4 linked regions of the Astyanax mexicanus genome follow. The protein of the gene in region 2 purifies or fractionates together with the protein of the main gene of each other region. This does not show direct contact. Links are inferred from orthologs where the notes say so. Each region holds a gene or a part of one and is shown on either strand. Other genes may lie near its edges.

Region 1 (8,473 bases), on a different chromosome or scaffold from region 2:
TATAAATATAAATTTAAATAACGATGCAGAAAACTGGAAACACTGATGCAATTCCTTTTTAAATATCCCATTTATTGTCTAAAAACATAAAGTCTCCAATATATCGCAAACCACTTGCTGCTACATCTGTGTCTGAGCCGTGTTTGGAGGTTATTAATATCTTGTCCATGTAAGGAGCATGGATTTAATCTGGAACAAAAAGCAGCATATGGAGTTATAATCAAGCCGCCCGACTGCATAAATGACCTCGATCTGAACGACAGTGAGAGTAAAGGAAGAGTGGGACTGCAAAATGAGGATCTCAAGGTATAGAGGGAGTAATTGCTTTGAAAGAATGAGGACAAACAGCAGGGAAGTGCTGAGTGGCATGGTCAACTCCCATCACTTCCATCAGACCACGCAGGCAAAGCCCCACTGTCATCAGGAGCATCAATTAAAACTTATATAAGCAGCCAGAGTTCTGCCCTGTCACCACACATGCCTGTCTACAAACAGGAAAAAACAACAACAGCAATTAAACTGCTGCGTATTGTGATATGCATGACTCTCAGACTATTAAATGTCGGATAGCGTAGAAAGTGTAATTGGTATTGCTTCTTGGATTTTGTTTAATGTGTGTAATCATTGTAAAGGTCCCTCCACATTAGTTTAAAGTTACAATATCAGCAGTATCGCAACCCTCGATCAGATAGATATCACAAAATCAGAAGTATGGCAACCCTCACCTGATGATGATATGATTAGTTAGGTATTAGTTAGATATCAATATTGGAATTATTGCAACCCTCATTTAGTTAGATATTACAATATTAGTAGTATTGCAAACCCTTGATTAGTTAAATATGAAAATATTGGTAGTATCTTAATTCTAACTCAATGCTGTGAATCAGTAGTATCGTAACCCTCGCCCGGTGCTGTGATTAGTTAGATATCACATTATTGGTAGTATCGCAAACTTTTGCATGTGCTGTAATGAGTTTGATATCACAATATAGTAAACATTGAACCCTCGTCCACTGTGATTAGTTCGAAATCACAATATCTGTAGTATCGCGACCCTTGCCTGATGCTGTGATTAGTTAGATATCACAATATTGCTAGTATTGAAAATTTCGCCCGATGCTGTGATTAGTTATATATCACAATCTCTGCAGTACTGCAATCCTCGATTAGTTAGATGTCACAATATCGCTAATATCGCAACCCAATATCGGTAGTATTGAAACCCGGTAGTATTGCCCGATGCTGTGATTAGCTCCATATCACAATATTGGTAGTATTGCAAAGGTTGAAATTGTGATTACAATTGAAAATTGATAGATATTGATATTGATTCAGCTCATGATCAGCTCTGATGGTAGGCTATCTCCTTAACTAGGTCTTGACCATAGGCTGTGTTTTCTCTGGATGACCAGCTGGTTTTGGATTTTTCAGCAGGGCGGGTGAGACGGCAGTGATATGCAGGCAGGAATAACCCCTGTCTTTTTCCTCGGTTAGTCAGACTAAATCTGGTTTGAGCCACAGGCCTGCAGATGAAGCAGCTGGGAGACCCATTACCATCCCTCATCTTCCATCTGCTGGAGCCTGCGCCCCTCCCCACCCAAACCCGGTTCAATACAATGCCTGTTCACTCAAATACGCCCAGTATGTGGAGCCATTATCTTCATAATGAGATGGATCAATAGACTCTCTGCGTTTCTCATGAGCCCTTTATAATAAATTGCCATCCAAATAGTTATAACAGATATATAACAATGCACTAATGAAGCTGGCTGTTGTTGGCATTTGTATTTTTTTAGTGTATTAGTGAAACTATAAGGGGGTTAATAGCAGATTACAATAGATCCTCTTAGCTGTCTATCTACCATAGTCTGTGATTTGACATAGACTGACATTTTCAGCTTTTATTGTCCAAAAAATGTAGAAAAAATATGTAAAATAATATTGTTTTAATAAATTAAGAGGTTGATTATATTAAACTATTATTTATTGTGCATAATTGTATAAATATTGTTGAGTTTTCTCCAGATAAAGGTAGTTTTCTTTGTCAGTGGTTTTCTGTCTGTGTCGCCCCACCCTTCCTTCCCACTCTCATTCATCTGATCTGCACCAAATTTATCCATATTCACACAAAAATACAGAAAACGACGACTTAAAATGCAACAAAAACCATTACAAACAGATTATGGGTGAAAAAGACCCTTTTTTAATCTGAAAAACGTGCTGACAGCTTTTTAACCCCGCATTTGCCTCAGCTCCATCGCCTAGTAACGAAGCAGAATGCGCTAGCGAAGCTTTTTGACGGAATTTCCAATTCCTCCTTAAATTCTGCAGCAGTTCCATTCTAGGTCCAATTCCTCTCGCAGAGCGCCTGAATGGAACCGCTGCAGAATTTAAGGTGGAACGGGAAAATTCCGAACCAGACAATGTTAGCTTAGCTTTAGACAGACAGTGTGGAGCTCGCGCCACGCCCGTTAGCCGGCAAGACAGCAAGAGAAAGGGAGTGAAAGGAACCGAAAAGGAAAGGAAAAATCACGAATTTAAGATATTTATTTGTACTTTTTGAGGGATTCTGTGAGTGCTTTTTTGCTTTTTCATACAAACATGCTGCAATCATTTTTTTCACAATAATTTTTTTTAAATAAACTTTAAATTAATTAACTTATTCACTGAATGCGTGAATATCAACTACTATTCTGTTTTTTTGTCAAAAAAACATATAATAAATGCATAAAATACAAGATATAGTTAGATTAAGAAGTTAAACCTGACCTACATGTTGATCTGCATCTAACGTTAACTAACTAATACAGACAGACCTAGCTATATGGTTCTCTTAGATAATAATGGATAGAAGATACATTGCTGCATATATATATATATATATATATATATATATATATATATATATATATATATATATATATATATATATATTTATGCATATGGCTACATTAATATTTAAAAATGCATTTAAACATTTCTAAAGTAAAAAAAAGCTAAAGAAGCATGTTAAAATTAATATTTTTTATTGTTTTTTATATTATTGTGCAAAAAAAAAGAGCAGCTTAGGCCACCAGACCACCCCTCTGGTGTGGGGGTTTCATTGTCATCTTAAAGCCCCTTCAAGATGCATATAAGCATGTTTAAAGGCATGTTGGTCGTTTTTTATTCTTTTTTTTCCAGGAGAACAGTGCATATCCTCTTACCTTGGCACCGATCTGGTTACCGCACTGGCCGGCCTGAATATGAACGATCTCTCTCATGGTTGCAGGTGAAGTGCAGGAGTTGGGTCTCTGGTCGGATGTAACGGCGTGGCTCCGCTGTAGTGAGTCTGGCCGGACAAAGGCTTTATAATTCTGGATTCTCTCCAGAACGAGGCTCCGCTAGTAAGAGGGCGGGGCCGAGCAGCAGTGGAGCGATTTGATTTGACCGAGCGCGAGACGTGGGCGGGGCCTAATGTGAACCGTTCTCTACTAGTCTCTCTCTATATATATTTCTTTCTCTCTGCTTCTCTCTATTTCTCTCTAATTCGTTTTACTTCTATCTCTCTTTCTTTCTCTTTCTTTATCTCCACTCAGCTCATTACTTTTCTCTACTTCTCTCTCTACATATTTCTACTTATCCCTTATTCTCTCTAGTTCTCTCTTTCTTTCTCTCTAATTCTCTCTTTACTTATCTGTACTTCTCTCTACCTCTCACTCACATTTAATCTCTTTCTGTATCTCTACTTCTCTCTACTTCTCTCTATTTCTCTTTCTGTGTCTCTACATCTCTCTGCTTCTTACTGTCTTTCTATCTCTTTCTCTCTTCTTCTTTCTCTGTACTTCTCTATTTACTTTTCTCTACTTCTCAGTCTCTTTCTCTCTTTCATTATCTCTACTTCTCTCTCTACTTCTATGTCTTACTGTGTATCCCTGTTTCTCTCTCTGTCTCTATTTTCCCTCCTTCTCTACGTGTGTCTCTCTCTACTTCTCTCTATGTATCTCTCTGTGTTTGTCACTCTTTCTATTTTTCACTTTCTTTACTTCTGTTTATCTATCTCTGGAAAACAATAAGAGACCCTGAAAAATGATGAGTTTCTCTGATTTTACCAAATTGAAAACATCTGGAATATAATCAAGAGGAAGATGGATGATCACAAACCATCAAACCACCAAACTGAAATGTAAAGCAGCATAAAGTTATCCAAAAGCAGTGTGTAAGACTGGTGGAGGAGAACATGATGCCAAGATGCATGAAAACTGCGATAAAAAAAACAGGGTTATTCCACCAAATATTGATTTCTGAACTCTTAAAATATTAACTTGTTTTCTTTGCATTATTTAAGTTGCATTATGAAAGTTTTGCAAAAAAATGCTCTAAATGACAATATGTTTATTTGGAATTCAGAAGACATGTTCGTAGTTTATAAAATTAAACAACAATGTTAATTTTATCAGAGATAAAATCAGAGAAACTGATTCAGAAACTGAAGCGATCTATCTATTAGAGTGAATGTACATAAGAGGCACTACAGGGGACGCTGTTGTATTGTTTTGTGTGTGTGTGTGTGTGTGTGTGTGTGTGTGTGTGTGTAAAAGTGTGTGTGTAAGTGTGTGTGTGTGTGTGTGTGTAAGTGTGTGTGTGTAAGTGTGTGTGAGAGAGTGTGTGTAAGTGTATGTGTGTGTGTGTGTAAAAGTGTGTGTGTAAGTGTGTGTGTGTGTGTGTGTGTGTGTGCGTGCGTGCGTGTGCGTGTGTGTGTGTGTAAGTGTGTGTGAGAGAGTGTGTGTAAGTGTATGTGTGTGTGTGTGTAAAAGTGTGTGTGTAAGTGTGTGTGTGTGTGTGTGTGTGCGTGCGTGCGTGCGTGTGCGTGTGTGTGTGTGAGAGTGTGTGTGAGAGAGTGTGTGTAAGTGTATGTGTGAGTGTGTAAATGGGCGCGGCTACGTCTGTGTGCTATTCGCTGTGTTTTCTGTGCCGTGCTGCAGCTGCTGCTACAAAAACTGGTACTTTTAAGACTTTCCGCGGTTGCGAAACCTTTTCCACAGTCCACAGCTCATTGCTAAAGACCTGCTGTCGGTAAGAAACCCCAGTTTAACTACATTATTTAATATAATTCAGAATAACCGCAGCATTAGCGCAGTCAGGGGCTACGGTCGCCTGTTGGCTTGTTTACATTGATTTAGCTAATGGCTTTTGATGAGCTAGCCTAGTTAGCCTAGCTTAGCTAGCTAACAGAAACTTAACGTTACTCACTAACAGCACGCGTATAGACAGAGAGTAAAATCAGCAAACTAAATGTCCTTTTGAACTATAGGTTATGTATTTACAGCCTACCGCTGTTTAACATTATATTTCTGTTCCCAATTCCCAAGTTTTCTTCGTGTAATAGGTTGGTATAGTTAGCTAACTAGCTAACAGGGGTGTGTAGTCCAGGTCCAGAAAGTAAAAATCCACCCCAGGACTACAAAAACCACAGTTACCTGTTACCAGATTACATTTTGGTTCAGTTTTTTGTATAAAGTTATATATTGGATAAAGTTAATATAATAGTAGATTTATAAGGCTGTTCAGGTTTTTGTGTGTTCTATAAGTAACGTTAAGTATAAGTACTATTATAAAAAAGATAGATAACATATAAGTTACCTAGTTAATTTACGTAGAACAAAACTATTTTTGTCATATTTTATTTTCAAGCCTTTTTATGCTATTGAGATAATGACAATATGATAACATAACAATGCAATAAACACATTAAAGTTACCTTTAAAGCTGGGTGAACTGTTATATCTGTTATTAAAGTTAATTCTTCCGTTGGCATTGAAATATTAAAACGTTTAATACTCTGTACAATAAGTCGACAGCATAATTATTGCTCATGATTTTATGCGTGTATAAAAAAGCATTTTTATATAAAGCAAATTAGATCATTTTAAACGATTGTACCGAAGATATATTATTTTTATTTAGGTGTGTACCGACTCACCACAGCAAACTTACACTGTTATATCTGATATCTGTACAATAACTACTTTACACTGTATTAAATTGTTTTATCTTTAGTATTGTCCCATGAAAAGATATAATAAAATATTAATAGAAATGTGGGGGTTTACCCATCCTTTGTAAGATAATTCTATATGTAGCCTACAATATAATATAGCTCTGTATGATCAAAATCTTTTAAACTCTTATCCTTGATATCAAATATGAAAATATGTGTATTATTACACATTTGGTCTGTTAAATGTGGAGTTTTTTTGGCTGCTGTAAATGTTCTACATTGTTAAAGACGTGGGTTTTCTCAGCTTTTCTACTGTGGAAACTCTGAGGTTTAATCTCGCACGCAAGTCTGGACAAATCATGTGGTTGTGGTTTGTTGATTTTTTCTTTTTGTGTAGTTGAAATGAACTGAGGCGTATAGACAGGATATTATGGAGAGAGAGAGAGAGAGAGAGAGAGAGAGAGAGAGAGAGAGAGAGAAATGAATGGAGGAAGAGGGAGGGACTGCATGCCTTCAGCCACACAAGTGTCCAGAGAGAAACAGCTGCTTATCTAGTGAAAGAAGTGTCATGTGATTTGGCCACAGCTAAAAATTCACCAACGAGATATCCCTCACTCCCTCATATAGAGATTGATCTGTGGAATTTTACATGATCTGGCTCATTAAATCCATTGAATTGTCTTATAAAAATAGTAGTAAGTCAGCACAGGTGGATTTAATGTACAGTACTGAATTATTTTTCAGGTCTGATCCAGTATCAACATGTTCTACACCTGTGGTCCCAATGAGGCGATGGTGGTCTCAGGTAAGAACAAACCGTTATAGGTAGGAATTTATGGCTGGAACAAAAAGGAAATTTAATCACTTGTTCTATTTTAATAAATGTTTAATCGATCTGGTTTTTTTTTTTCATTCATTTTAAATCGTCTAGTTGTGTCTCCAGTATGAATGAAGGCCATGTGAGCTAATTTTTGTGAAAAATAAAAATAAAATCATCTGGTGATCTGGTATAACACTGCTTTAGTCAGGTGGAGGAGTGGAGGGCTGGGAGAAACTATAGGATTTCGGCTCTTGCTTATGAATATTTATACATGCAACACTGCGACACCAGGAGGCAGCGAGACGAACAACACTTTTTTGAAATAGTTTTGAAATAAAGACATTTTTACACTAATAACAGTCTTTGCAATGTCTTTGAAGGCATGGAAAAGTCATGGAAATTTATTGGTTAAAAAGTGTATTAGCCATAAATACAGCTCTGTAAAAAAATTAAGAGACCACTTCAGTTTCTGAATCACCTTTTCTGATTTTGCTTTTTATAGGTTTATGTTTGCTCAAAATGAACATTGTTGTTTTATTCTATAAACTACAGACAACATTTCACAGTTTTTAATGCATCTTGGCATCATGTTCTCCTCCACCAGTCTTACACACTGCTTTTGGATAACTTTATGCTGCTTTACTCCTGGTGCAAACATTCAAGCAGTTCAGTTTGGTGGTTTAATGGTTTTTTATCATCCATCTTCCTCTTGATTATATTCCAGAGTTTTTTTTATGGTAAAACTGGTAAAATCAAAGAAACTCATCATTTTTAAGTGCTCTCTTATTTTGTTTCAGAGCTGTATATTAAAATAAATAGTTTAATCATTAGATGTTACAATGTATGTTTGACTCTCGTTCTTTATCTGTATTTTCCTGAACTTTAAACACATTACACACTTCGGTTAAGCAGTGTGAACACACTCATGCTCAGAACGTGCCCTCAAAATCTGTGCTATCTCTTAATCAGCTGCTTTAGCATCTGCGCTGAGAGGGTGTCGCAACCTGGCTTTGTTCCGAAATCACTGAGGAATGAGTCCTTTCCACTTCTTCTCCTCCTCCTACAGATCTGTGACTTCAGCACTGCATGCCAGCACTGTCACATGATCAGTATATAAAGTGTCATGGGTTTGCTCAGAAGTTCAGATATGCAGCAGTGTTTACAGTCTTCATACCCCTGGTCCTGTCAATCACAGGTCATTATATTGTTTAAAAGGGAAGTCTGTATATGGTTTCACACTAAGAGGAAGCATTTGATAACTGAAAGGCAGAATTAAGCAGATTTTAGCTTTTAAAAAAAAGTAAAAAGTAAAAAAAAAAAAAATTTGGTTTATTACATGCATTATAATCTTTCGTGATGTGTCCATTATAAACCTGCCTTAAATGTTAGAATGTATTGGGCACTGTGTCTGTGTTTGCATTCAGACGGTAACTACAGGTTTAAATTGGATCTCCGATGAATTCTGAGTTTTACAAGCAGAGTTTTATGATACAGAGCAGACAGTTTAAGGGTTAACTTTTCCTAGCACTCAGTTCTGTATCTCTAAAAACATTTTGTCCTTTGAGTTTTAGAGCTGTAAAATTTACTGTTTTGCGGGAGGCAGGTAGGTGTTCTCTGCTGCAGTGCTGTTAGCCAATCAGGGGCAAAATATTTGCATGTATGAATATTCA
Region 2 (8,115 bases):
TTCTTGAAACATAGGACTTTTACACTTATTGTCCATTTTATCAGCTCCACTGTCTATAAAGGAGCACTATGTAATTCTAAAATTACAGATTGAAGTCTATCTGTTTTAAAACTCCAGCAGCACTGCTGTGTCTGATCTAGTTGTACCAGCACAACACACTCTGACACACTAACCACCACCACGTCAGTGTCACTGCAGTGCTGAGGATGATCCTCTGGGTCCTGACCATTGAAGTACAGGGTAAAAGGAGGATAATAGAGTATGTAGAGAAACAGATACAGGACTACATTCTGAAATTATATTTGTTAAGTGGATCTAAAATACAATGCAAGTATAAACAATGTAGATGTGTTAACCCACTGCTACTGTTATAGAATAACTTTGACTAAGCAGCAACAAGTAAATCATTAAGAATGAAGCAATAACAAAGCTTACAAACCTCTGTAACAAACCTCTTTAAACAACAAAAGTCTAAAAAAAAAAACCCTCACACTTACACACTTACTCACTTATTTTTATTAAGAATGAATAAGCATATACAATACTGCAGTCACCTGGTGTCCCAGAGGCAGCGATGGTGAGTAAAAGCTTCAGAGTAAACCAGGCCTGTTCCAGTTGCTTTAGGCTTACAACGCAAATCCTGCAAGCAAATAAACACAAACCCATTCACATACTGTTCAGAACTTATTTACTGTACTAAACTCACATGACATTTACTTATCATATGAACAGTTTGCATGCCGTTATATGATTATGAATAGAACAAAAAATCTCAAGCAGTGCAAAAATCTAAATGCTATATTTTCAGTGGAAAAAATAAAACAACAAAATGAGAAAAAATAAACTAAATAGGTCATATAATTAAAATTCTGCACCAAAATGCACTCTAACATACGCACAATGTTTTTGAGCTTATTGATCATCTCCTCTTCTGCTTTCCCTCGGTCCATTCTGCCCTTTCTCCTGGCGTCCTGGAGACTCTGCTTGTGGTTGGGTTTGCTGTTTTCTCTCTGAGATAAAGAAGCTTCAGGTTAATTACAAACCATCACACAAGCTCCACATAAACTTCACCAATCTCCTATTATCTAACTCAGGTCCACATTTTGCAAGTTAACCTGTTCTATTCTATACAAAGCTCAGCACTGTATCAGGGAAGGTCTCTTATATAGCTAATCTAATGGATCACTACAATTAACTGAAACAATAGAAATCCAGGCACTGAAACGTGTTTGCTTTTAGGCTTTACTAAGTGAGTTGTTCTCAATCTTGTTCCTAAAGTACCACTTATTAAGAAGTACTCAATTCACTTCAGTACAGCTGAAACTAACAATTATCTTGATAATCATTTCAACTGTTGATTATTTTTTCAATCAATGAATTATTAATTTGATAAAACTGGGGAAATAAACCAAACTGTCTTTGTATTAATGTTTGTACTAATGTTATAATTGTATAAGCATCACACAACATACCACTATTAAAAAAAATATGTGTTTTAATAAGTATTAAGCTGACGGTTTAGTAAATTCTATTATTATCAATTTTTGATAACAGTGTACGTAATGTATATATTGTTACACTCGACTGTGAATCTAAAACACTTCCATGCAACGTCAGTCAGAAAAAAACTTTAAGAAGGCTGTTACCGCCAAAGATATAAATTTACAAAGAATGCAACTAATCTTGCTTAACAACTCCAGCAGTCTCTAGTAATGCTGAGTGAGAGAAAAGAATGATCTTGTCTCTAACGTTTGCTTGACTAAAACTATTGCTTGTTTTGGAACTGCATGTAAGATGTGGCACATTGTTCCCCAATACTGAAATCGGCTACTTAAAACCATCAGTAAACACAATTTCTGGCCTCATATTGATGTCTTAATGACGACTGGATCTTTGGTCATTTCAAACTCAGAAGACTCAGTGGAAAGGAGCTCTGGGAAACTTGGTGGACGACGCATGAAGCCTTGCTCCTGTGCTGAGCTTCGGATTGACAAGTAAACCCACAGCACAACACTGACAATTTGTTTTAAACAGACATTTGGCTTTAGCTTTTAAAAAGGTGAATATTTCTTACTTTGGCAGAGTTTTGCTGAGGTTTTTTTGGAGAACGAGAAGAGCCTTTATGTGCTCTTGGTGGAGTGGGATCTGATGCAGATTCCATTATGACGATAACTCCCACGGCAAATCCCTCAGCAAATCCTGCTTTTTAAATATAAAAAAAGAAAAAACTGTAACACAAAAAAACTGTTTAATTTCAAGCGTCAGTGTTAAAAAGGCATACTATAAGGAAAGAACAAAAACTCATAAATAATCAAACAAACAAGTCAAAGCCCTTAAGTCTTATTTGGGTGGAAAAGAAGCAACTATTGTTTAGCATCTCCAGGAACTCCTTCAAGAAGCTGAGAAAACTATTCCAGGTGACTTTCCTTCATGAAGACACTGAGATTAAAATACGAAGAGCGTGCAGATCTGTCCTCAAAGATGGCTGTGAATGTGAATGTGCTAACCTACTTAGTAGAATCTAAAGCAGGAGTGTGACATATCGTATTGTATGCAATAACATCGCCAGCATTTTTTAATATTGTGGATGATTTTATACCCTGAAATATGGTGCCATATCACCCACCCCTATATTATCACATCAGGGTACTACTTTTTTGCTGTTTTTAGCAAAAGAAAAATGTTAATGTTATCATTTCTTGTTATATATCTACTATAGACAGATTATATCTGCCAGTATAATTTATTTTACTTTAATCCTGGATATATGGAGATATTTGGAGTGCATTATTAGAACCATGACATCACTGACTTCGGTTACAAATCTGATAAAATTCTTATATTTTTTTATATCTCAGTCAGTTAGGGGTGTGCCATATCATATACAATAATACAATTTAATGTTCATTTTGTTGCAGTAGTGTATTCTTCTTTGTCATATCTAAAGTAATTCTAAAACATATTCTGCTTTGTTTAACTTCTTCTTTACAGAATAATTCAGCATGTGTTTCTGTATAACTTTAATATAGTATTACAAATTAAATAATGAATGTACAATATAAAAAAATCATAAACAGAAAGAAAAAGCACACTGACTGAAAAGAGGTGTGTCCTTATTTTGACTGGTATTGTATATAGCAACTTTTAATGTGAGTACTGTGTCGTTAAACATGAATAACACCACAAAAGTATCACTTACTATGTTTTTAACTCGTCCTTCGGTTCAGATAGTCCCTCCTGTCCCTCTCTCAGCTGTCTTTCTTTCTCTCAGCTGTCTGTCTCTCTGCTTCATCAGCTGTGTTTAAACGCTGCTTGGCGCTCCGGCAGTCCGACCGTTACCGCGGCTAATGCTAACCGAGCTAAGGTTCCGCCCCCATTTCCACACAAAACTGAGGTAAATAAGCGGATAAAAACAGCGTCTACCGACAGGAGCGGCATATAAACGTGCTACAGTACCGGAGCTGAGTTACTGCTTATTAAATTATTCAGATAAATTAGCTAAAACCGCTCCGCCGCCCGCCGGAGCCACCGCAACTACCCGCGGCACTGCTACTTTCACTCACAGCAACAACAGCTCTGGAGGGCGCGAGCGGATGACGTCTACCTGCACGTGCTTCAGCAAAGCACGCGGGGTCGCTGTTACTCCAACAATAATGTGATATACAGCTCTGGAAAAAATGAAGAGACCACTTCAGTTTCTGAATCAGTTTATCTGATTTCGCTATTTATAGGTATATGTTTGAGTAAAATAAACATTGTTGTTTTATTATTTACACTACGGACAACATTTCTCGCATTTAATAATTATTTTTAGAGCATTTATTTGTAGACAATAATGAGAAATGGCTGAAATAACAAAAAAGATGCAAAGCTTTCAGATCTCAAATAATGCAAAGAAAACAAGTTCATATTCATAAAGTTTTAAGAGTTCAGAAATCCATATTTGGTAAAATAACCCTGGTTTTTAATCACAGTTTTCATGCATCTTGGCATCATGTTCTCCTCCACCAGTCTTACACACTGCTTTTGGATAACTTTATGCCACTGAATTTTAGGCGGTCTCTTTTTTCCAGAGCTGTATAATATACATTATATTATTATATTATTTACTCACCCTTTCTAATCACTAAACTCACCTATCCTAATCACTGAATTTAGGTTCCAATCTATTCCAAGTCTTTGCCATGATTTAACCCTCCTATTATTGTATGGGTCAAATTGACCCGTCTGAAGCTCTAGGAAAAATAGTTAGAAGTATTTTTTTCAGTATGAAACTTCTTCTTCTTGCCTTAATAAGTGTAATCAACATATAATATGAAAATGGATCCGCTCATATTAGCAACCACCCCCTGCAAAAAAAAAAAAAAAACTAAAACAAAATTGCAATGTTATGTTTCAGTGTTGTAAATTTAAAAAATTGTGTTGAATATGTTGGTCTTTTAAAAGTAATAGAGTAAATAAAGTGGTGAAACATTAATGGAGAACTCCGGTGTAAAATGGACTTTGGGTGTAGTAAAACATGAACATGATAAAAAGTAATAACTTTAGTTGAATAGCCCACCTCCGTTCAACCACAGCTTTCTGAGAACCAGTATTTCAATGCAATTTGGCCAAACAGGTTAGAATAGGTTTTAACGGGGCATATTTTGCCCCTGCAGATAAATCGCTTTTTACACCATTATCCAAGCTCAAAGTAGCTCCACAACTTATCGGTAGAGTCCAGAGAGCCCTGACATTTACATCCTTTACACCAGCCCTCCAGGACCAGAGCAGAAGACTCACTTATACAGCACTGAGAAGCGTTCTGTGGAAGAACCCAAATACCAGTGAACAGTGAAATTTACCAGAAGGTGCCTAAAATGGCTCAGAACCAGTCTCATGGTAGGTAAGTGACAATTTTCACTTAACAATGTAAACAGCCACAACAACAGCAAGGCATATCAGTCAACAATAGCATAGCAATTACATGATTCAGAACAGCATTTACCGTTATAAACTGAGGTCTAGCAGACAAGTAGCAGAAAGTGGGTGAGAAGTGCACGATGGGATTGGGAAGACTGCAGCCCACTGCACCCCCTCCTCCCGGCACTCTCCGTACACACACACACACACACACACGTGCATCTGTTACTTACAGCCTTAAGGAAGTGTAGCCATAATATAATATACTCTCTGTAGACTATGTTGTGTGTTAAATAAATATATTACAATAAATCATGCTAAGATCTTAGTAGAAAGTACATGCTCTCTTGCAAATAGTTTTTTTTCTTTTCTGTGGTGCCCTGACCTCCTGCCCTGACCTCTATCACACTAACCAGAAACACTGTAAAGCAGTGTTTATCAGTGTGTTCACTGCACTGTGGCCTTATCATTAGTAAAGTGTTGAATATATAAGCCTGGCCTAAGCTTATACCACTGTACTGTACCTTTTGGAACTGCTTAATCCAGACACCCATCTCAGAAATTAGGGTTTTCTTATTCAGGTCTTCTAACTGTGCTCTGATACAACCTTTCCTGTATGGGTTTTTTCTGGCTGTCCAGACTTTTATAAACTAATCTGGATACAATCTAGATATGCAATCCAGATTTGAGCTTGCAGTGTAAACACAGCCTGAACTGTAAATTAAATAAACTAATTTACTTAAATGAGTTAAGCATTAATAACAGGTATCAGTAACTAATCTTTAGAGCTCTTCTTGTGCCCCCACACTTCCCTCATTCTGGATTCAGCATCCAGAGTGTCCAGACTGTGACAGATCTGTACATATATTTGTATCACATTTGAAGCAATCTCCAAATGTGGTTTGAATCCAATTCACAAATAAAAAAATCATATTTCATGTGGATTCCGGCTGTTCAAACTATCACAAACCATTCTGGATACAATATACAGTAGATATGCCAAAAATCTGATTTGGGCTGGCAGACTGAACTGTGAACTTAATAAGCTTTAAAAAGTGTTCAACTTTTCAATTTGACTTTTAAGTTGAATTTAAGTTTGTTTAATTTCAGCTTGTCCACAGTGTGAATCTGATCAAACATATTCTTTTCTTCATTTTTTTTGAAAGATTATTTCGACTACAGGCCAATATGTGCTGCAAGGTCAAAAGGTCAAGGCGCAAAGGCCACAAAGCCAGTCCACTCTGCTACAGCTTCTTCTCTGTATGTGTGTATGTGGTTGAGTATACATGTATGTGTGATCTGAAAGAGTCTCTTGGATAGAGTGAGTGAATGACTGAGCGAGTGAGTGAGCGAGTGTGTGTGTATGTGTGTGTGTGTGTGTGTGTGTGTGTGTCTATATGACAGGCGTAGATGGCGGGGCGAGCGAGCTCTAACGGTTGTGCCCATGTGTTGGCTGGTCCTGGCCTGTGGTTGCTAATCTCCATGTGTCATTCTGCTCCATTTCCCGCTTGTTTGGCCACCCAGATAAACCCGGTTCACCCCGAACGGAGGAAGCCAGCAACAGAAACCAGAGAGAGATGTGACTTTTCTTGGCACCTTGAAAAAACGAGCCATCAGGGGCCCATGCCATCACTGCAGCATCTCTCCTTCCCTTCTACATGTTTTTTTCAGAGACTCCGGAAAACCAAAAAGCTGCCTGCGTTGCACAATGGGGTTCCAGCAGAGGCCCAAGGAGATGAGCTGTGTGGTCAACACTGAAAGAGTGAAACAGATGGAGGGGGGCAGAGAAGGAGAAATGAGGAAAAAGAGACTGTGTAGGTGTCACACAGAGAGAGAGAGAGAATTGACATGAGGCTGCAGAGGCTGCCACCTTGCCATCATGGCCATTGCGCCATTTTGGGCCATGTGGACCCATGGAGAGGCATCGTGCACACCTGGAAGAGATGACCAGAGGAGCGAACAGAGCGAATGCCCATTGAGGAGGAGCTGAAATGTTAAATTAAGCTACAAATAGACTGTGAATTGTCATATGTGCTCTATCTGTATATTTAAATCTGTATTCCCCAAAATATACAGAAGAATTTCGAATTTCTGGAATCTGGGACAACATTTCCAGAACATTTGCAGTCTTCTCTGGTGTTTTCCTAATGAAGCTTTGGACCTCATTTAACTCAACACTAAAAACACACATAGAGCATATGTTATAGACTTGATTTAGCCAAAGAAATATTTGAAAATGTGCATTTAGTCTTTGAAGATTCTGTATTCTAGGATTATCATTCAGTTAAGAAGAAGAAATGGTTTTGCATGTTTTATTGAATCCCACAGGGTTCTATTGTAGGGGCTATTAAACTTACCCTAAGTATGACTGTGGTATAGCTAGTTATGAGAGGTAAAAACTAAACTACAAAACTATGAGCTACAACATAGGGCCTAAGGGGTTGAAAATAAATATTGATATTTTGTATGTCTGAAATTTTGGGCCTTGTTCAATATAATACCACAACACACACACACACACACACACACTTGATATAGTTATGTTATGGACTGTTTTTTTCTTAAAGAAATGTAAAAAAAAGGCAATAGGTGTTTGCATATTCTGTATTCATATTTAAAGGGGGCTAATCCTATATTTTCTTTCATTTCTATCATTTCTTTTATCTTTTTTTTATCCACATTAATGCACATCTAAAAGTTCACACGTTCATCACATGTCATCTGTCTTTTTTCCATGTGTTCATGTGAACTAACTCCTTAAACCCTTTAAGGCCAACTTCTATACTTCTATATGAATTTAACCCATAGCCTACAGTATGTCTAGAAATATAACCTTCTTAGAAATGTAAATTATATTAAGCTAGCCTTCGGTTCAGATTTGGTTCTGCATAGCTGGCTAGCTAAAAAAATAACCTAGTAGCTATTAACTAAAATTAAAATAAAAAAATAGTTAAAACATAGACTTAGGTGCATTAAAATATCAAGAATTCCCAGTATTTATTCATTAGACTCCCTTATGTGCTACTATAACTGTTTATTTTAATGTAAGATGATAATGGATTATGTGAAGGTTATTTGGTTTTATTTTGTAGTGGGAGATTGAACATTTTGCACACCTTTTTGCACATCTGTCCCAAATTCTAAAAACAAAAGAAAATAAACTGGATGTACATGCAGAGTCTTGTTTGCTGATAGTATCAATTCTATTGATGC
Region 3 (7,993 bases), on a different chromosome or scaffold from region 2:
GAGCTCCAGCAAGAACTAAGACAGAACAAAGCAGATGATCAGAACATCATAAACATTTATACAATTAACAGATGATTAAAGCTTTATGGTTTTAACATAATGTCATGATACTAGAGCTATTTTAATTTAATTGTGAACATTAGATTTACAATGCATGGTGACAAACTGTAATGTAAGTTATACTAATAACATGACATTTTGATATAATGCCCAGCCCTACCCAATATATACTTACCAACTACTCCAGTGGTGCCATCTCCAATTTCATCATCTTGAGACTTGGAGAGCTCCACCATGAGTTTGGCAATTTGATGATCCACATCCATCATGCTGAGGATTGTTGCTCCGTCATTGGTGACTGTCACTTCACCATCTTTATCCACCATCATCTTATCAAGTCCTGCATTTAAAAGGAAGTCACTTTAGGTAGTGGCAGATTTTCTTATACAGAGTTTAACAGCACAGAACATCTGCAGTCCTGCTGTCAGTTGTCAAAAAACTGCAGCAACCCCTTCTCGGTCTTTGATGATCACTTCCACCTAATTTGTTAAAAAATGCTCAATGAAAACTAAATAAAAGCATGGTTGTAGATCAGATGTAGACCTCACGTTAAAGTGAGAAATTTTGATTACTTTGAGGTGAAAAGGACAAACCTGCTCTATACAATGTTGATGTAGCATTTATATTTAATTTAACATGATTTCAACAAATGCATGATTAACATGCCACAAATGCTTTGAGAACTTCTCAAGGTGTAAGTGCTTGCTAACTAATGACAAGACTTTATGCACAAGCAAAATTAATCTAATGTAGCTAATATATCAACATCTCAGACGAGCACAAAAATACTGGTTATGAGAATCAACACAAAATTTCCATTCTGGCCCTTCCTTACTAAACATACAAATTTACTAATTAAAATTGAAGACAGGACATAACAGGAATGTGACCAAACTGAAGTATCTCACCATTTGGACCCAGTGAAGTCTTGAGGGTGTTGGCCACTGCCTTTGCTGCCATGATGTGTGACTGCAAAAGCAAAACACATATTAAACCTATGTAATATGCATTTAATACAAAGATGATGTCATAGCCTCTTAATATCTCTGCAATGTAGTTTAAATTAGTGAAAACTAATTTTAGATTACAGCCATCAATTATTTTAGTAACAATATCAAATCTACAAATTAATTAAAGCTCTATACAATGTCTTTATTATTAAAAACCTCAGAGTTTCTAAAAGAAACTGCAAGATCTAGTTTTCTAAAATCTAGTTTTCAGATATCACTGGTGCATTTTTTGATGATTCTAAAGCCTGTCCATTTATCAGTAAATGAATTCTGACAAGCACAAAAAAAAATAATAAATTGAGTGTTCTTTAAAATGTTTGACAGATGCATAAGCCTATTTACTGAAATTCCCTCTTGTAATAATAATAATAATAATAATAAATCAATTTTTAATTAGAATAATTTAATTCATTATTTTTTTTAATTGCAGTTAGAATTACTGTGTTTATAATGAAAATACAATTTCTACAAGAACGACAGAAGTTGTAGATATCTGTAACTGGATTTTTACTAGAACAAAATGCAGTTAAATAAACAAAGAATGAAATTCCATGTTAATCAAGGGTAACATATGCATGGTAAAATTTAAAATTAAATTAGGATAAGGGGTCTTGGTAATGTGACTAAATGTCTGAATGTTTTTACTGATCTGTAGATTTAATTTTACCAATAAAAATAATTTTCTTACCTGTAATAAAAGATTACACCTGTTAAAACTGCATTACATGGATTAGTCAGAGTTATTGCAGTTTTACTAGTAAAACTGAGCTGGGCCTTGAGTTCCTAATCATTTTGGTCTAAAACTGCTTGCTATAAGCATGTAGAGTATGGGTGGGCGATATGGCCCCAAAATAAGATCACAATATTTTAGGGACTTTTTGCAATAACGATATTCTTGGCACTGTGGAAAAAAATTATATTAAACAAGTCATTTCAAGAATACACTACTGCAACAAAATAAACATATATTTTATTTAACAAAAATTATGGACAAACAAGCTGTCTCTACTATATATTTAATAGGGAACGAGAACAGTTGAAATTTTACTTTTGCTAAAAACGGCAAAACAAATTGTAACATTACGTTAGTTAGCCTGAAATGTGGCCCTAAAATAATATGTTGCTTAACAACATTATTGCATACAGAATGACAGTAAAACCCCTAACTGAGCGTTGTTTCGGATGCTCATGCCATGCTAGGACACTAATAATGCGCTCCATATAATCAGGATTTAATTAAAATACATTTTACTGGGCAGACATGATCAGTCTCCATTAGATATTTAATGGGAAACGAGAAAAGTGTGAATTTTATTTTTGCTACAAACTGCACAAAAGTTGTAACCTGAAATTATCTATGGTTAAGATACTTGTAATAAGATATATATATATATATATATATATATATATATATATATATATAACCTAGCTAAACTAGCTATAATTGAGGAGCAGTGTGCAGTGAGTGAGTAGCGCAGTGGATTAGGCTGTGGCTGCTGCTCCTCCAGTTAGCTTAGCTTAGCCAGCGTTAACAGCCACAGGCCGAGCACATGGGTATTATAGACATGCCGGGTGTTCTGTCGAGTTGTGCTACCCTGTCAGACCATGCTATCCTAGTGTATGTTTAAAATTTTAAAATGCCAGAAAAAACCCATATTGTTATGCCTCATGCTATTGGTAGGATGGTTAAAAGCCTGAATCAATGTATTAGGATACAGTTTAGAGTTATAAGGGATGATTATAAGCAGTATTTTTTTCATTGTTCATTTATTACTTTTACTATTATTATCAAAAGTCGTTTACACATTTGTAACACTCAGACAAATAATGTCAGGGGGGCTCCGGTTGTTTAATGCACATACGTAGTACAGAATTAACTTTACTATTTAAAAAAAAATTTTAAAAATGAAAAATTAAAACATAGTTTTGCGCATGCGCAATTGTGTTGGGAAGCACATCTCGATGGATAGCACAATTCGATAGAACACCGGCCAGCATACTGGTTTACAGACACCACTAACATAACTAACTAATTAACTAATTAAACAAACAGATAGGTTAACCAGCAGCGCATAACCAGAATTCAGCATTTACTCAGTTTATTAAATACAGCACACATATTAAATATATAAATCACAGTAAGGGGAAGGGCGAGTCCGCAGGGGCGGCTTCAGCTCAAACAAAGTGTTAGCCTAGCATTTACCTTCAGAGCATCCAGGCCCGTCAGCCGGAACTTCTTATCCTGGTCTTTAATGATAATGAACGGCCTTCCATACTCGTCGAAGGCGAGGGTCCCTAGCGTAGACATCTTTCCCAGCAGATGAACTCACTCAGCTCTCTGGGTTAATCTTAATCTGGTGAATATTTCAGACCGAGAGTTGCGTGGTCCTGCCGGCCACTTCTGGAAGGATCTCAGGGCGGCGTGGACCGAACCAAGGCAGTCTGCCCGCGGGAGAACCTCAACATTAATGTATCTTTTTATTCATGTTAGTGCAAATAAATATAACTTATAACACTTTATACAACATTATAATACTGCATAGAATAATAAAATAGTACTTAAGTATAGAATATACACGTTAAATATTTTTTTTTAATAAACCTACTGTAAATGGACTATTCCAGTATCGCGATATTTCCGCGCTTTTCTGATACACGATCTGCACGGCATGTGGATTTACTTCAGTACAGCTGAGTCCGCGCTGTGACTCACCCGCCTCTGTAGTAATAGGTTGGTTATTCGCGCAGCCTCAAACACGTGTAGATCGTATTGTGTGCAGTTTATCTGTATTCCGGTAGGAAAGACACGTTATTCTGATGTAATGCTCCCCCGGTTATGAACATTAATATAATGAAGGTAAGGCTGGATTGATAAATTAGTTAATCTCTGCGAGTAGCTCATTTTACACTGTAGCTCTGTGTAGTTCACGCTGTTTGAGGGCACACTGTTGACATGTTGACACCCTGTAGCTACCTTCAGAGAGGTAAAGTGTTCATGAATCAACATAAACATGAAGTTGATTCATGTTGAATTAAAGTTGAATCATGAGCACTCTGAGCGTATCTGTGATTAACGTTAGGTTGCTGCTGTCTACCTGGAGCTAACTAGCTACCACTGTTGTTTGTGTTTTAAAGGAGGGGGATAGATTCAGGTAATTGGTGGTATTAGGTAGCTGGATAATACAACCTAGCTAGTTGAGTGTGTTATGTAACCTAGTACAGTGGTCTCTCAAACTCGGGGCTGCAATACGGCCCTAGTAGGGCACAGGACATAATATAATAATGATACTGTATCTCGTCTATACGTTTTCAATAATTTCATGACTTGGGTTATTCATGTTTTAAATGGTATGTTTCACGTTTTTGCTCCAGCCTCAGTTCAAACTTGAAAACGGCTAAAGAAATGGGTGGCATAGTCTTTTGGGGTGGGCACTGGGTGATGTAGGGGTTTAGGGGTGGGGCAATAAGTTGTGGAGCTACTTTGAGCTTGTTAAAAATAGTGTAGAAATAGTTACCTGGACCACCCATATTTGGTAATATTGAACACCCATAAGCTACTGAAATATACAGTCATGGTCAAAATTGCTTAAACCCCTGAAAAATTTCCAGAAAATTCTTACATTACTACATCCCACATGTTTTAATGCAAGTCTATTACCTTTGTGTGTATTGGAATAGCAAAAATGCAATAAAAAAAAAGAAAATTGATAGAATTTCACACAGAATGCCAAAAATGAGCTGGCCAAAATTATTGGCACCGTGGAATTTTGGCAAATCAAGATCACTGGAGATAGGCTTGTAACCTTAAATTGTTGAAAGTTTTCCATAGTTTTTGTTCTCAACTCCTCACACAGCTGGCACAAAGACTAAGTCAATTTCTCGCCTTTATGTGGTTTCAGGTGTAATTTTATTTTGCCCACACCTGTTTCTTGCCTTAGGTGAGTTTAAACGAGCATCACATGCTTGAAACAAAGTTATTTACCCACAATTTTTAAAAGGTGTCAATAATTTTGTCTGGCCTATTTTTAGTTTTGCATGAAATTATATAAATTTTGTTTTTTTCCTTTGATTTGTTTGTTGTTTTAATATAAACAAAGGAAACAATATGTGTATAACCACATGTGTAATTGCAATAATTTTCTGTAAAACTTTTAGGAGTGCCAACACTTTTGGCCATGACTGTATGTGTGTATCAAATATTTAATTCTATAATGTGTATATTTACACAGTTTGTTCTGTTCTGAAGTGACTGTTTTACATTTATCTGAATGACATGCAGCCTTGTTTCTGTACACAGGGTGCAGATCATGCCTTGTGGAGTTGCACCTCGGTTCCTGATCTTGTACGGCTCACAGAGAGGCCAGGCTCAGTCTATTGCGGAGGAGATCTCTGAGCAGGCAACTGAGCATGGATTCCTAGCTAAGATCAGCTGTCTGAGTAAAGGAGACAAGGTATGATATACTGCCAGAAAAGAAGAATACTTAAAATCCACTGGGTCTAGGGAATTTAATACAGATGTGCTTTCCTGACAACTGTTTGTAGTATAACTTGGACAGAGAACACGGCCCTGTTGTTTTCGTTGTTTCTACAACTGGAGATGGTGAGCCTCCGGACACAGCACTGAAGTTCGTAAAGAAAATCAAGAACAAGTCTTTGCCCGGTGATCACTACTCTCATCTGCACTATGCACTGCTAGGTAAGCTACTGTGTGTATGTGTGCGCCCGTGCATGCAGGCCTCCCTCTGTACACATAGCATTTCCAAGGGCCCCCTTAACAGTATTATCAAGAATACCATAGACTACAGAATATAAACCTCAAATATGACCATTAATACTTTGTAAAACTTTGTTTTGAAAATATACTGTATATAGAACACATTTTCTTATATTTAATCATATATATATATATATATATATATATATATATATATATATATATATATATATATATATATATATATATATATATATTTATTGTGTATACATGTATTGTGTATGCAAAGTTCCAATATTGTGTATAAATGTTAAAATGTACTTAGAAGTAGGTCTGGGCAATATGCCCCTAAAGTAATATTAATATATTTCATTGTATTTTTGCGATATCATTTGCAATATGGAAAAACATAATTATTTTAAAAAGATACGACTGTATAAATGTTCAGTTTCAAACATTCAGCGGAAACAAACAAAAAATAATATAATAATGTGACATAATAAATAATGTTACACAGTTGTAATAAAACAAAAAAGACCTTTCAAAATACTGAAGTACAGAATATTTAGTGCATGCATTTAAACTGCAACATAAACTATTACACAAAAATACTGTGATTTGCATAATAGTCTGGGTAAATTATAGATGCCTGTATGTGGACACAACACTGAACCTGTGGGATATGAACAGTATGTCGTATTAGTGGCACAGCTTATCTGTGCAATCATACAGTTTTAGTAGTCATGTGTTGTAGTTAAATGTAGGCACTGAATAAATTTGTTCCTGTCGATCATTAATGCCATTATTACCATTATTACCAAATGACTTTTCAATTTCTCCCCAGCTAAGAAATGAGCCTCTTTATGCATACTGGTGGTCCCCTGCCTACCCTGTATGTTAATCCAGCCCTGCACAAATGAGTCAAACACTTTTGAACAAAATGCCATTTTGGAACAGTTGTTTAACTGTGCTAGATGATTTCACTCATAACCTGCATTCTTCCAGATGTTCCAGGGACAGCATTTTTCTTACTGACTAAATCAATGCTCTTTGTTTTTGTATTTCTCTCAGGGCTGGGAGACACAAATTATGCCAATTTCTGCAACTGTGGAAAGACCATCGACAAACGTCTGCAGGAACTTGGTGCAAAACATTTCTATGCAACGGGTCATGCTGATGATGGCACTGGGTAAAAACATGCTGTACATTGGGTTACATAGTTATGGTTATTAAACCTTACTGACGCTCAGGGATTACCTAGTCAGGAGAAAAAAAATAGACAGCTTGTCTGTTTCTATGGCTGCAGCAAACTATTTGCGTGCTGTTGTGTTGTATACCTGACAACCCAAGGTGTGGAAATGGGACTGTGGAGTCCTATGGTGGATGGTGGTTGGAAGCCAAAACCCACACAGATATAAAAATAAAGAACATTTTGTTTGAAGCCCTGCTGCAAATTTCTGTTAGTGCTTAAAATTTAATGAAGGTTTTCTTAATATCTGATTATACATCCTGATCATGTTATAAATTAAAACAGAAATATAATCCTTAACGGTTCTTAAATGTATTCGTGGATGCTAAATAAGTGCATTTTGCGCAGTATGGTGTTTGCTGTTGAGGGATTATGCTTAGTCCTATATAATTGTATTTTCTGTTTAAGTAAATATCTCAGTTTAAAATGCTGTGTAGTCAAAGGCTAGGCTTAATCTCTGTATGGGAATTTGCCCATATATCTGCTGTGTATTAGTTGTCATCATTGGCAGGGGACCAGCATATCAACACACATATTTGAGTGGTGGTTTAATTAATCTTTAGCACAGCAGTGTCACTGTTAAACTGGATAATAGAGCTGATACGAGTGAAGCAGACACAGTGTTTCTGGGGGTTTTACACTGCTAGTTTGACACTGTTAGGTTGAGACTGATGTCCGTACAAACTGTGCATACACAGGCGGGCTACTGTCTCTAGCTCTAACTACAGAAAGTTAAATCTACAATGGTTTCTGATAAAGTGGTTGATGAGTATGTACTAGTTTTAACTCAGATCCTAAAATGGCCATTGCCCTGCACATTTTAGTGGGTTTCTGCTCTAATGTACTACCTTTGGAAGGAATCATTACTTAGCAGATTAGCTGGATCATGTGTGTTGTAAACTGAGATAAACACTAGAAAGGTTTCAGTTTGGCAGAACTGAAAAAAAAAAACATTTGGAC
Region 4 (8,165 bases), on a different chromosome or scaffold from region 2:
GGAGAGAGAGAGAGATAGAGAAAGTGAGAAAGTGAGAGAGATAGGGGGTGGGTAGGCGCATGACAAATAGAGACTCCTATAGGCTGTACTGTGTATTCTGCGCGCGTTTAGGCAAACCATACTGTGACCCCCCATCGTGACGGTTTGCGAGGAAAAGGAAGAAAAAAAAAAAAAAAAAAAAAAAAGACCATTTCTAGTTTCAGTGAATTACATTGAGCAACATCACAGCAGATCTTTCAGCACACTCACGTAAATGAGGCCAGAGTAGTATCTGTCCTTCAGGTTGTGCAGTACAGAGGCTTCGTTCAGGCAGGTCAGCTCCGCCATGTCCTCCACCTTGCTGAACTTGGGCGGGTTCATCTTCTGGATGTCGTCCTTATTGACCATAGCCTTTTTGCCATTCTCAGCAAGCTCCACCACCACCTCATCTCCTCTCTCCTCACGGATGCTGGCCGCCTCAAACCCATGCCGCTCCGAGGGGACCCACACCAGCTTCTTGGCGGTCCAGTCAGCCTGCGTGGCCGGGTTATAGACAACCGCCCGGTCCACAAAGAGGTACCGCTCAGGGTCCTCCTGACCGCTCCGCTGAGCCATTTCCGGCATTAGGGACTACAGACAGGCCACCTGCAGAGAAACACAGAATCAGATTAGAGACGACAAAAGCATGGGGTGGATAAAATGGATAACAAATTAAAGCAAATCCCAAAATTACACAAACAAAACAGTTCAGACAGACTGTTATTACCAAGCAGCCAAACATGACTGTTATAGTCTTAATTAAACTGAAAACCTCCAGAAGTAAGCATTTACTGTACACAATCAAACAGCTTATTAATATCACATTACAATGTAGTGTTTTAACATAAAAAATACTTAGCAAAAGTTATTTATAACTTGTACACTTAATAAGAGTGTTCGAAACTGGAAAAAGAGAACATGGATTAAAAGATCATCCAATCAGAACAAATCGCACTGCATACATCAGTCCAAGCATGATAATACCCAGTTGAAAATTGAATGACCGTAATGGATAATCCAACACAGTTAATTAACAGTAATTCTTAAAAAGGGGATAGGTCAAGAAACAAGAACACCACAATGCAACTATTTTTTAACTTATTTATTAATTGATCACTCCATTTAATTATAAACATATCATTTAAACAAGCCATGAACTATCTAGGTTGAAATTTTATTATTTTAGATTTCCAGCGAGAGAACTGCTTAGTTACGTATAACTAGTACGTAATCTCAAAAAAAATTGAATATCATAAAAAATTACTTTATTTCAGTAACTCAGTTCAGTGAAACTAATAATAAATAGATGGATTACACACAGTGATCTATTTTAGGCATTTATTCAGTGTCTCAGACAATAAAACCAATTGGTACTTTTGGCAATGTGGGCAGTGTGCCAAGTCCTGCTGGAAAATGAAACCTGCATCTTTATAAAAGTTGTCAGCAGAGGGAAGCAGGAAGAGCTGTAAGATTTTTTTGGAAAACACTGCACTGACTTTAGACTTAATAGAACACAGTGGACCAACACCAGCAGATGACATGTCTCTTCAAACCATCACTGACCATCAGTCAATTTTGCACTTCATTTGGAATTCAAGGGACCAGAGTCTGGAGGAAGAGTCGAGAGACAGATAGGTGTTGGTTTCTTACAGCACTTCATGCTTCCTTCTGCTGACAACTTCTATGGAGATGCAGATTTCATTTTCCAGCAGGACTTTGCACACTGCCAAAATATGCACTAGTAGCATCTACTGTACATATAATTGTCTATACAGCACTGGTAGGCCCTTGAGAAAGGCCCTTTACACACACTGCTCCCAGGGTATCACACACACACACTGGTGGGTGTGCTCACTGCATGAATGGGCTAAAGATGAACACCACATTCCATATATCTGGCCAACAAGTATGATAAAACTGGGTGTCTTGTCTGGTCTTTTACACATCAAGTCATTCATTTAACATCTACACGCAGCTTCTTTTTATGCAGCATCCATAGAGTCGCATATTTGTGTAGCCCCTGCACAGAGTAATGTGTCCATATGGATTCTAATCATGTTCTAATTATGAATGAAACCTAAAAACTAAACTATTTATACAGTACTAATGCAAATTACACTAAAAACCTTCGTATTCCTCACATAGTTTTCACACATAGGGCCAATACATGGAAATCCATATAGTAAGTTAAAAACTTACACTTGACCTTGGGATTAAGTTATCTAAAAACTACAATTTCCAGTTTTAAGAGCGTTAGCAACTGCTTTAAATACAACACACATTAAGAAGACAGCCAATCAGAAGTTAAACACAAAGTCTATGACTGTGATGGATATACAAAAACAATCATTAATAGTATTTCTCAAAGAGGAGTTTACATCAAGATACAAATTAAAAACACAAGAAAGAACATGTTCTAATGCAATTTACATAATTCATGATTATTACTGCAAACAAACTGGAGTAATAACTGCATTAGAAGCTTTTTTAAATGCTATTCAGATACTATAGTAGACTTATATCAGTGCTAATTTCACTAAATGAGTCTAGAGCATCACTATACGATAAAATCGTAATATTGTCCACTCATTACTGACCTACAGCTTAAAATGTGTAATTGTGCATCAGTTTGGTGCTTAAAATAGAAAATAAAAGGAAGAGAAAATGTGTCAGAAGAAGCATATAGGTCAGAAACCAGAAACAGCTGGAGATGTATGTGTGTGTGGAAGGAGACCAAGTTGGTAACAAGCTAAGTAACTAGCTAGCTATATTTTGTACTAAAAATAAAAGTGCAGAAATGGGTCACTAATGCTGCAGATGCATAAATTGAGGCCAACACACCAAACTCCTAGCTAGCTAATAAAAGCATTAAGAACAAAAACATATTAAAGAGTTTATATCAGCCATAATAAAGTCTCGGGATATTCAAGTTGCATGTACAAATTATATTAATAAAGGTTTCTAAGATATTTAGCTAACAGTAATGAATGTATCTTAATGCTGGTAGTGGTGGTTCTGGGGATGCCGTTAGCTAGCACACAAGGCTACGCGTGTCTGCTAACCTAGCTACGGCATCTCCATCATCACCAACACCATCACTATAATCATCTTCACCGCGGGTAAACTATGAAATAACGGTCTTTTAAAAAGTTTAACCGCCTCGAGAGCCTAAACATATTAGTTTTAGATACCCAGCAAATAATAAAAGCTTAAATTCGGATTTTAACCCACATAAAAAGACCGTAGTTCTGGCTAAAGTCCGTTAGCCTGTCCGCTAACGCAGCCTCCCCTCAGACCCTGATAAAATAATCCGCCAACACGAACCGGAGCTCCGCCACAAAACCACACACCACAAACCCCAGCAGACACACACTTACAAAGGGCGGGAGGCGAGGGAACCTGTGTGCGCAAACAGATGAAATAAATGTCTAATCCGGCGCGTCCAGTTTCATAAGAATCCAGTTTACTGATGTATTAAACTCAGCCTTGTCTCCCTCCGCGCTGCTGCAGGAGCCGCTTCTACTCAACCGAACCCAGCGGACCGCGCTTTCTGAACACACCGACCAATCACAGCCCAGCCCCTTGCCGCAAGAGAACCAATCAGAGCCCAGTAAACTGCCAAAGACCCAATCGCGGCGGCATACGGCGCGCAGACGTCCAATCAGAGCACTATACTACCTTCAGTAACTGAAATAAGTAACTTTAACAGCAGTTAGACAACCGCTAAAGAGCCATACAGCTCTTAAGCGTCCAATCATTAACAGAAAACCACCTCAACCAGCCAATCAAATTTTTTAAAAACGCAAACTGTCAAACAGACAATTATCATCGCTCTGTAGCCTCTGTAACAGCCTGTCGGAGCCCCATCCCGCTAGCACAATCAGATTCTAAAGCATCTAATCAGGTAATCCTTAAAGTGATCACTAGATGGCCCGTACCACACCAGTTCTCTTTCTGTCAACCAATCATAACCCATCGTCCATTAACCAATCAGAATTTAGTTCTGCCCACAGTTAAGTAACGGTCCTGCAAGGAGCTTGTCTACTTAAGTATTTGTTGGTCACACTCAACGACATGTATAACATGCACAAAAACACACACACACACACACACACACAGAGGCGTAGCAGCAAATTCTGGGCCCTGTACACATTCAATGTCAGTGGGCCCCTATCCATGCCAGTACACAAATAACGTGAGAAAAAAGGAAAAAAAGGGGTATTTATCTAAAATAAGAAAAAAACATAAAGTTTTAAGCTACAATCTTCAGCAAAAATCATAATCACAATTATTTAACATGATTATTAATTGTTAGCTAATCTAACAACTTCGTGTGAGCATAAAAACATCAGCAGCAGCTGTCTGAAATGGACTTAGTTAACTTTAAGTGGATTTTTCATAACAAGCATTCTTGGTTCACCTTTTGGAAAGAAAGCCGTCCACAGCTGCCTCCCCTCATTCTTTCTTACTTCTTTTAATAACCTGATTTCTGTTTTTTGGGCAGCATGATGTCTCTAGCCTCCAGGTCATTCATTCTGGGCATTCTGGACATTACACCTGTAGCCGCTCGCTGTCGGGCGGACTAAACCATTTTGCGCCTCCAGGAGGAGGCCCCCTCAATGTCCACTATGTTGAGAGGACTGTGACTAAGGTTCATTCATTCAGTTGATGTTATCAATATATTTGAAAGACTAATTAATAAATAGTAAATTGGAGGGCCCAATTAAAAAATAAAAACATCACAAAAAATGGGCCCCTCTCCCTACTCGGGTCCTGGGTAGTTAGGTCCACTTTTCCCCCCACTACCACACCCATGCACACACACATGCACACACACACACACACACACACGGATACACACGCACACACACAAACACACACACACACACACACATTAATTTACTTTCTTTCACGGACATGGTTTTATTGTATCGTTCATGAAGAAGTAAGTAAAGAAATGTGTCCCTCTTGTGGTGTGGAAAAGTATTACATTATAATAATTATCAATAAATAAAAATCTAATTTACTCACCATATATATATATATATATATATATATATATATATATATATATATATATATATATATATATATATATATATATATATATTCAGCGTGGTAGAGCCCAATGAACAGGAGTGATCCGCCCTGTACCTGAAGAAAGAATATTCTCCTTCAGAAAAATGAAAGAACTTTTGTTTTATATGAAGAGTAAACACAGTGTAGCCTTGTAAAAATTTGTGACATCATAGATTGAACAGAGTAAAAAATAAAAGGAAAGATGGAAAAGCTTACAGCACCTGGTATTCCCAGGCGGTCTCCCATCCAAGTACTAACCAGGCCCGACCCTGCTTAGCTTCCGAGATCAGACGAGATCGGGCGTTCTCAGGGTGGTATGGCCGTAAGCGATAGATCAACTCCCAACAAGCCTATTTATAAGTCACTCACAGACCTGAGTCTTTTCACTGTCATTTACTGCTCTTCACAAAAGTAAAGCAGCTCTACGGACTAATACAAACATCTTGCCTCAAAATAAAAGCTCCTTTTAACTTTCCCTACAAAAAGTAACCACAGAAAAAAAAGGCAAAAACTCCCTATATGTCTTAACTTTTATCTCTTCATCTTTTTTGTTCAATTTTCATGCTCTACGTTTCTTACTCAATGGAATGGAAGCTTCAGATTAGGCCCAATAAAAAAAAGCCCAATTAAAAAAATCATATTTACAAAGAATATTCTGAGAAATAAATAAATAAAATCATACACACACATTAAAGTATACTTGGCATACATTTACAGAAAGGCCCTGTGTCCTACAGAAGGTGCCTTTTTAATTTTTTTCACCCCTGCCATCCAAACAGCCTGAGTCCGCAGCACACTGTATCCAGGTAAGTAAGACCTTCAGGATCACGTGAACATTCTAGACTCAGGTGAGTTAAATCTGAAATCTTTAGCGTGGTAGAGCCCCAGGAACAGGAGTCAGTCGCCCTGTACCTATGTTAAGAAAATAAAAAATAATGCATTTTTTCTTTATTTATAAGCATGAAGAAAGAATATTCTCCTTCAGAAAAATGAAAGAACTTTTAAGTGAGTATTTAATCTGTATATGGTTTTAAGTGTTTTATATGAAGAGTAAACACAGTGTAGCCTTGTAAAAATTTGTGACATCATGGATTGAACGGAGTAAAAAATAAAGGAAAGATGGAAAAGCTTACAGCACCTGGTATTCCCAGGCGGTCTCCCATCCAAGTACTAACCAGGCCCGACCCTGCTTAGCTTCCGAGATCAGACGAGATCGGGCGTTCTCAGGGTGGTATGGCCGTAAGCGAAAGATCAACTCCCAACAAGCCTATTTATAAGTCACTCACAGACCTGAGTCTTTTCACTGTCATTTACTGCTCTTCACAAAAGTAAAGCAGCTCTACGGACTAATACAAACATCTTGCCTCAAAATAAAAGCTCCTTTTAACTTTCCCTACAAAAAGTAACCACAGAAAAAAAAGGCAAAAACTCCCTATATGTCTTAACTTTTATCTCTTCATCTTTTTTGTTCAATTTTCATGCTCTACGTTTCTTACTCAATGGAATGGAAGCTTCAGATTAGGCCCAATAAAAAAAAGCCCAATTAAAAAAATCATATTTACAAAGAATATTCTGAGAAATAAATAAATAAAATCATACACACACATTAAAGTATACTTGGCATACATTTACAGAAAGGCCCTGTGTCCTACAGAAGGTGCCTTTTTAATTTTTTTCACCCCTGCCATCCAAACAGCCTGAGTCCGCAGCACACTGTATCCAGGTAAGTAAGACCTTCAGGATCACGTGAACATTCTAGACTCAGGTGAGTTAAATCTGAAATCTTTAGCGTGGTAGAGCCCCAGGAACAGGAGTCAGTCGCCCTGTACCTATGTTAAGAAAATAAAAAATAATGCATTTTTTCTTTATTTATAAGCATGAAGAAAGAATATTCTCCTTCAGAAAAATGAAAGAACTTTTAAGTGAGTATTTAATCTGTATATGGTTTTAAGTGTTTTATATGAAGAGTAAACACAGTGTAGCCTTGTAAAAATTTGTGACATCATGGATTGAACGGAGTAAAAAATAAAGGAAAGATGGAAAAGCTTACAGCACCTGGTATTCCCAGGCGGTCTCCCATCCAAGTACTAACCAGGCCCGACCCTGCTTAGCTTCCGAGATCAGACGAGATCGGGCGTTCTCAGGGTGGTATGGCCGTAAGCGAAAGATCAACTCCCAACAAGCCTATTTATAAGTCACTCACAGACCTGAGTCTTTTCACTGTCATTTACTGCTCTTCACAAAAGTAAAGCAGCTCTACGGACTAATACAAACATCTTGCCTCAAAATAAAAGCTCCTTTTAACTTTCCCTACAAAAAGTAACCACAGAAAAAAAAAGGCAAAAACTCCCTATATGTCTTAACTTTTATCTCTTCATCTTTTTTGTTCAATTTTCATGCTCTACGTTTCTTACTCAATGGAATGGAAGCTTCAGATTAGGCCCAATAAAAAAAAGCCCAATTAAAAAAATCATATTTACAAAGAATATTCTGAGAAATAAATAAATAAAATCATACACACACATTAAAGTATACTTGGCATACATTTACAGAAAGGCCCTGTGTCCTACAGAAGGTGCCTTTTTAATTTTTTTCACCCCTGCCATCGAAACAGCCTGAGTCCGCAGCACACTGTATCCAGGTAATTAAGACCTTCAGGATCACGTGAACATTCTAGACTCAGGTGTGTTAAATCTGAAATCTTTAGCGTGGTAGAGCCCCAGGAACAGGAGTCAGTCGACCTGTACCTATGTTAAGAAAATAAAATATAATGCATTTTTTCTTTATTTATTAGCATGAAGAAAGAATATTCTCCTTCAGAAAAATGAAAGAACTTTTAAGTGAGTATTTAATCTGTATATGGTTTTAAGTGTTTTATATGAAGAGTAAACACAGTGTAGCCTTGTAAAAATTTGTGACATCAAGGATTGAACGGAGTAAAAAATAAAGGAAAGATGGAATAGCTTACAGCACCTGGTATTCCCAGGCGGTCTCCCATCCAAGTACTAACCAGGCCCGACCCTGCTTAGCTTCCGAGATCAGACGAGATCGGGCGTTCTCAGGGTGGT

Evidence for each region.
Region 1: the proteins of hdac6 (region 2) and tubb5 purify together in Homo sapiens (affinity purification with mass spectrometry; 4 studies listed by BioGRID, with this or other methods). This does not show direct contact. The link is inferred for Astyanax mexicanus from reciprocal best matches to the Homo sapiens genes HDAC6 and TUBB.
Region 3: the proteins of hdac6 (region 2) and cct5 purify together in Homo sapiens (affinity purification with mass spectrometry, with the first as the bait; 3 studies listed by BioGRID). This does not show direct contact. The link is inferred for Astyanax mexicanus from reciprocal best matches to the Homo sapiens genes HDAC6 and CCT5.
Region 4: the proteins of hdac6 (region 2) and myh10 purify together in Homo sapiens (affinity purification with mass spectrometry; 3 studies listed by BioGRID, with this or other methods). This does not show direct contact. The link is inferred for Astyanax mexicanus from reciprocal best matches to the Homo sapiens genes HDAC6 and MYH10.

Annotation. Positions count from the first base shown.
Region 1 is NC_064413.1:1,501,498-1,509,970, forward strand, and holds the start of tubb5 (tubulin beta-5 chain), read right to left. Parts: upstream 3,369-8,473; 5' UTR 3,267-3,368; coding exon 3,210-3,266; intron 1-3,209. Other genes in the region: flot1b (flotillin-1b), read left to right, coding at 6,746-6,788. UniProt on the Homo sapiens protein: Tubulin is the major constituent of microtubules, a cylinder consisting of laterally associated linear protofilaments composed of alpha- and beta-tubulin heterodimers.
Region 2 is NC_064419.1:4,051,861-4,059,975, forward strand, and holds the start of hdac6 (histone deacetylase 6), read right to left. Parts: upstream 3,579-8,115; 5' UTR 3,200-3,578; intron 2,203-3,199; exon of another isoform or gene 2,200-2,202; 5' UTR 2,162-2,199; coding exon 2,075-2,161; intron 1,011-2,074; coding exon 900-1,010; intron 641-899; coding exon 555-640; intron 1-554.
Region 3 is NC_064408.1:92,085,254-92,093,246, reverse strand, and holds the start of cct5 (T-complex protein 1 subunit epsilon), read right to left. Parts: upstream 3,497-7,993; 5' UTR 3,379-3,496; coding exon 3,274-3,378; intron 1,030-3,273; coding exon 969-1,029; intron 401-968; coding exon 236-400; intron 16-235; coding exon 1-15. Other genes in the region: mtrr (methionine synthase reductase), read left to right, coding at 5,378-5,521, 5,613-5,766, 6,856-6,973. UniProt on the Homo sapiens protein: Component of the chaperonin-containing T-complex (TRiC), a molecular chaperone complex that assists the folding of actin, tubulin and other proteins upon ATP hydrolysis.
Region 4 is NC_064412.1:26,396,595-26,404,759, forward strand, and holds the start of myh10 (myosin-10), read right to left. Parts: upstream 3,541-8,165; 5' UTR 3,396-3,540; intron 625-3,395; 5' UTR 604-624; coding exon 250-603; intron 1-249. UniProt on the Homo sapiens protein: Cellular myosin that appears to play a role in cytokinesis, cell shape, and specialized functions such as secretion and capping. Involved with LARP6 in the stabilization of type I collagen mRNAs for CO1A1 and CO1A2.